2 linked regions of the Macaca mulatta genome follow. The protein of the gene in region 1 purifies or fractionates together with the protein of each later gene. This does not show direct contact. Links are inferred from orthologs where the notes say so. Each region holds a gene or a part of one and is shown on either strand. Other genes may lie near its edges.

The links. The genes of interacting proteins can lie anywhere in the genome.
Region 2: the proteins of RBMX (region 1) and SF3B1 fractionate together in Homo sapiens (co-fractionation; 3 studies listed by BioGRID and IntAct, with this or other methods). This does not show direct contact. The link is inferred for Macaca mulatta from reciprocal best matches to the Homo sapiens genes RBMX and SF3B1.

Annotation. Positions count from the first base shown.
Region 1 is NC_133426.1:143,218,627-143,221,327, forward strand, and holds part of RBMX (RNA-binding motif protein, X chromosome), read right to left. Parts: intron 1,296-2,701; coding exon 1,143-1,295; intron 231-1,142; coding exon 116-230; intron 28-115; coding exon 1-27.
Region 2 is NC_133417.1:102,334,116-102,337,772, reverse strand, and holds part of SF3B1 (splicing factor 3B subunit 1), read left to right. Parts: intron 1-305; coding exon 306-426; intron 427-769; coding exon 770-901; intron 902-3,439; coding exon 3,440-3,657. UniProt on the Homo sapiens protein: Component of the 17S U2 SnRNP complex of the spliceosome, a large ribonucleoprotein complex that removes introns from transcribed pre-mRNAs.

The DNA.
Region 1 (2,701 bases):
GAACTTGGGTAATCTCTGCTTGAATAGCTACAAACACAAAAGTTTTGGTTCATGCTTTTGATAAGCTTTCCTTCAACCTTAATTATTAATTTAAAAAGCTGCAATTTTCTATTACCTGTCTTTAGTAGAATACCCATCATCTCTTGGGGACAAATAAACATCTCTACGAGAGGGCAGTGGCTCCCTTCGAGGTGGACCTCCGTAACTATCTCTTCCACGTGATACAGGAGCTTAAGGAAAATTACATCACTTTTTTTAAACACAGTCAGAGAAAGAAGTTAAAACGTGAACTTACATTCAGGCTATGAAAACGAGACTGACTTCAAAGATGACATTACGGAGGCTAGATCATCTCATTTTTTCTAGAATTTCCGATTCACATTTTAAATTTTTTTCAGTGCTAATTCCATTTATCTAGATCACCTAGAACACATGACCAAAATTTTTTTTTTTTTTTTTTGAGATGGAGTCTCGCTGTCACCCAGGCTGGAGTGCAGTCCTGTGATCTCGGCTCACTGCAACCTCCGCCTTCTGGGTTCGAGTGATTCTCCTGCCTCAGTCTCCGGAGTAGCTGGGATTACAGGCACCCTCCACCGTGCCCGGCTAATTTTTGTATTTTTAGTAGAAACAGAGTTTCACCATGTTGGCCAGACTAGCGTCAAACTCCAGGCCTCGTGATCCGCCCACCTCAGCCTCCCAAAGTACCAACATTACAGGTGTGAGCCACCGCGCCCAGACTCCACAAATAAAGCTAGGGGGGTGTGTGCGTGCGCGTGCGTGTGCGTGTGCGTGTGTGTGTTTTGAGAGGGAGTCTCTCTGTTGCCAGGCTGGAGTGCAGTGGCATCATCTCGGTTCCCTGCAACCTCCGCCTCCCAGGTTCCAGCAATTCTCCCGCCTCAGCCTCCCAAGTAGCGGGGATTACAGGCACCCACCCTATGCCCAGCTAATTTTTGTATTTTTTTAGTAGAGACAGGGTTTCACCACATTGGCCAGGATAGTCTCAATCTCTTGCCTTGGCCTCCCAAAATGCTAGGATTACAGGCATGAGACACCACGCCCAGCCAATTAAACTTTTAAGCATCATTTACCTCTCAATTCTTTGTTACAGTAGTAGCACAGATTGTCATACATGGAACATTTACCTCTCCCTCCCATTCCACTGCTACTGCGAACTGGTCCTGAAGGTGCAGATCTCTTGGGAGGAGGACCCCCACTTCTTGGTGGTGGTCCTCTTTTTACTGGGAGTGGTCCCCTGGAAGAACTCATGTTAAAATTCATGGAATATCCACCGTCATCTACATCAAGAATAGAAAAGAAAAATATTACTACTCACAAGAATCAAGAAAGATATGAGAGTTTTTTTTTGATACGGAGTCTCGCTGTCGCCCAGGCTGGAGTGCAGTGGCGGGATCTCAGCTCACTGTAACCTCCGCCTCCTAGGTTCAAGCAATTCTCCTGCCTTAGCCTCCCGAGTAGCTGGGATTACAGGTGTGCGCCACCATGCCCAGGTAATTTCTTGTATTTTTTTTTTTTTAGCAGATACAGGATTTCACCATGCTGGCCAGGCTGGTCTCGAACTTGACCTTGTGATCCTCCTGCCTCGGCCTCCCAAAGTGCTGGGATTGCAGGCGTGAACCACCAAACTCGGCCACTACAAAATTTCCTTTGCTTCATGAAGAATATGACCATTAGGCCGGGCACAATGGCTCAGGCCTGTAATCCCAGCACTTTGAGCGGCCGAGGCAGGCAGATCACCTGAGACCAGGAGTTCAAGACCAGCGTAACATGGTGAAATCCTGTCTCTACTAAAAATACAAAAATCCAGGTGTGGTGGTGCATGCCTGTAATCCCAGCTACTCGGGAGGCGGAGGCAGGACAATCACTTAAACCTGGGAGGAAGAGGTTGCTGTGAGCCAAGATCGTGCCACTGCACTCCAGCCTGCGCAACAAGAGCTAAACTCTGTCTCCCAAAAACAAACGAACGAACAAAAATGACCATTATTAATTTGGCTAGTCTAGTTTCACTTGTACTTGACGGAACATGCAGTGCAGTTATATAGACTGGGGAAGTAAGAACTGAAGGTAGTCTTAAACTTTTTTTTTTTTGAGGAGTCTCACTCTGTTCCCCCAGGCTGGAGAGTACAGTGACACGATCTCGGCTCACTGCAACCTCCACCTCCCGAGTTCAAGTGATTCTTCTGCCTCAGCCTCCTGAGTAGCTGGGATTATAAGCGCCCACCACCATGCCCAGCTAACTTTAAAAAATAAAAATGGGCTGGGCGCAGTGGCTCAAGCCTGTAATCCCAGCACTTTGGGAGGCTGAGGCTGAGGCGGGTGGATCACGAGGTCAGGAGATCGAGACTAACACGGTGGAACCCCGTTTCTACTAAAAAATACAAAAAACTAGCCAGGCAAGGTGGCGGGCGCCTGTGGTCCCAGCTACTCAGGAGGCTGAGGCAGGAGAATGGCGTAAACCCGGGAGGTGGAGCTTGCAGTAAGCTGAGATCCCGCCACTGCACTCCAGCCTAGGTGAAAGAGCGAGACTCCATCTCAAAAAAAATAAATAAATAAAAGAAAAATGATTTCATTTTCATGTCCAACACCTTGGCTTATCAATTTTTAAATGCCTTTCCTACAGAGTAAACTACTTGGACAAGAAGTAACACTGTCCACGGTCTAACACTATAATCTCACATGCTTC
Region 2 (3,657 bases), on another chromosome or scaffold:
GCTGTCCCCATATTTAAATGTCAGTGCACAAATACATTTCAGAACCAAACAAAACTTTTTTGTTATTGAGTATCCATCATTCTTTAAATCACTTCACTGATTTCTTTCATTTCTATACATAATCAAAAATTGTTAATAAAAGTTAAAAACGATTCTGAGTCTGGTCAGAATCCGCGGCTTTCTCTTTCCATAGGCAGCTGTAAGTTTATATTTATGCATAGTCATATATAACGTTGCTAAGTAAAAGGAAAGTGAACAAAAGTTGCAATTCAGATGTTGATAGTTTATTGACTTCTATTAAATAGGTATGCATAAGATGACTCCACCAATTAAAGATCTGCTGCCTAGACTCACCCCCATCTTAAAGAACAGACATGAAAAAGTACAAGAGAATTGTATTGATCTTGTTGGGCGTATTGCTGACAGGTAAGCAGATTACCCACACATTTTTATAAGCAGTATCAATTTTCAAATTTGGCCACTTTGTATTCAATTAGCAAAATTTTCTTAATGTCACTAATATAAGTGTATATGATTAGGCTGTCTAGTATTAATATTTTCAGTCAAATTTCAATTTGGATGGTAATGGGGTGGCCATGTAATTTTAGGACTAAACCTGTAAGACTAACTCTTCAGCCTTTCTGAAGAGGAATAACTCTTATTTAATGCTTAAAATGAGTTAACAATCATGTTTTTAGAACTGAATTTGCAAATTTATCCTTAAAACTTTTCCTAATGTCACAAATAATATGTGTATTTTTTAAATTAGGGGAGCTGAATATGTGTCTGCAAGAGAGTGGATGAGGATTTGCTTTGAGCTTTTAGAGCTCTTAAAAGCCCACAAAAAGGCTATTCGTAGAGCCACAGTCAACACATTTGGTTATATTGCAAAGGCCATTGGGTGAGTGTCACTTACTTCCATTAAAAAAAAAAATTATAATAAATTCGTTGTGGTGTTGAAAAATACTTCATGTAGAAATCTCTTTTGAGGCATGGTCTGAATAATGCAGTTGAGAAAGCTCTTCATTTAACCATTGACCTTCTGATTTTTGGAATGTATTCTTAAATTCAATTTGTGTGTTTGTTTTTTTTTTGAGACGGAGTCTTGCTCTGTCACCCAGGCTGGAATGCAGTGATTTGATTTCAGCTCACTGCACCCACCACCACCTCCCGGGTTCAGGAGATTCTCCTGCCTCACCCTCCCCAGTAGCTGGGACTATAGGCATGCGCCATCACGCCCAGGTAATTTTTGTATTTTTTAGTACAGATGAGGTTTCACCATGTGGGCCAGGCTGTTCTCGAACTCCTGACCTCAAGTGAGCCACCTATCTTGGCCTCCAGAAGTGCTGAGATTACAGGCATGAGCCACCACACCCAGCCTGTAGTCTTAAATTCTTAATTGAATTAAAATAGATGGAAGGGTTTAAGATTTACTTTAATTATACTTTAGGTGTTTTCAGGGAGGGAAACAGTACCATTTTCAGAAAAATACAAAATGTGTACTGGTCTTTTAGGATATTGCTTAAACTATTAAGGCAAATTTTTAGTCTCACAGCATCATTTAAGTCTCATATTAATGCTTTATGTGTTTTAAAAGTTGTATTATGGATTGTTTGAGCTCAGGAGTTTAAGGTTACAGTGAGCTGTGATTGTGCCAGTGTACGAGACCCTGTCTCTAAAAAAAAACAACAAAAATGCTATTCTAACATTACTCCACGGATTTAACTGAATTATAGCTGCTTTGTGAGATAATCTATGGTTGTTTGCTTCCATTCCATCACAACTAAAGTAGGAAAAAAGTCATTATAGAAAACGAGACACGGCCGGGCGCGGTGGCTCAAGCCTGTAATCCCAGCACTTTGGGAGGCCGAGATGGGCGGATCACGAGGTCAGGAGATCGAGACCATCCTGGCTAACACGGTGAAACCCCGTCTCTACTAAGAAATACAAAAAATAGCCGGGCAAGGTGGCAGCGCCTGTAGTCCCAGCTACTCGGGAGGCTGAGGCCGGAGAATGACGTGAACCCGGGAGGCGGAGCTTGCAGTGAGCTGAGATCCGGCCACTGCACTCCAGCCTGGGCTACAGAGCGAGACTCCGTCTCAAAAAAAAAAAAAGAAAAGAAAACGAGACACCACATGTCCATGTGGCTTAAGAAAATGTGTTCAAGGAATATGACATGTGAACGTCTGATTAATTAGGTAGAATTAACCAGACCACACCCCCTCCCCTAACACACACTAATTTCTCTCCTATTTTGGTAGCATAATATTTATTTCAGTGGTGATGGAGTCAAGAAATTTGTAGTGAATAGCTGTCATGCAAGCTTTTAGCCCCAATGTCCCTCTAAGTTTATGTCAAAGAAGAGGCAAATAGATGCAGCAAATTGTGTGGGAGGGAAGATAAAAGAAAAGAGATTTTATGGCCGGGCGTGGTGGCTCACGCCTGTAATCCCAGCACTTTGGGAGGCCGAGGTGGGCGGATCACAAGGTCAGGAGATCGAGACCATGGTGAAACCCCGTCTCTACTAAAAATAGAAAAAATTAGCCGGGCGCAGGGGCGGGCGCCTGTAGTCCCAGCTACTCGGGAGGCTGAGGCAGGAGAATGGCGTGAACCCGGGAGGCGGAGCTTGCAGTGAGCCGAGATTGTGCCACTGCACTCCAGCCTGGGCGACAGAGCGAGACTCCGTCTCAAAAAAAAAAAAAGAAAGAAAAGAGATTTTATATGGTTTATAATGGGAGACCACAATTCAGATATTCCCCTCACCACTCCTACCTAGTTCTAGTGCCCATTTTGACAACTCAGAATTACTCACTTTAAACATTTAGTTAAATTTCTTTATATTTCAGAAAGTTTAAAAACTGAAAATTACATATGAAAATTAATTTGAGTTAACTTACTTTTTTTTTTTTTTGAGAAGGAGTGTCACTCTGTCACGCAGGCTGGAGTGCAATGGCATTGTCTCAGCTCACTGCAACCTCTGCCTCCCAGGTTCAAGTGGTTCTCCCACCTCAGCCTCCCAAGTAGCTGGGACTACAGGTGTGTGCCACCACACTCGGCTAATTTTTGTGTCTTTAGTAGAGACGGGGTTTCACTATGTTGGCCAGGTTGGTCTCGAACTCCTGACCTCGTGATCCGCCTGCCTCGGCCTCCCAGAGTGTTGGGATTGCAAGCGTGAGCCACTGCATCCGGCCAAAATTTTTAAAATTTGTACAGCTGTGACCTCTGATCTTCTCAGAGTTAACTTTTTAAAACTGACCTTTTAATTTATATGAAATTTTAATGTAGAAACAATGCCAGTGACTTGGAAGTATTGCGTTTTATAAAATTACTGAGTTCCCTGTAATTATTAATATTTAAAAGTTTTCATCTTTATGCATTTTTTCTTCCATAAATTTTTGACTTATAATGTAACAGCTTGTTGACCCATTTTTTTTTTCAGCCCTCATGATGTATTGGCTACACTTCTAAACAACCTCAAAGTTCAAGAAAGGCAGAACAGAGTTTGTACCACTGTAGCAATAGCTATTGTTGCGGAAACATGTTCACCCTTCACAGTACTCCCTGCCTTAATGAATGAATACAGAGTTCCTGAACTGAATGTTCAAAATGGAGTGTTAAAGTCACTTTCCTTCTTGTTTGAATATATTGGTGAAATGG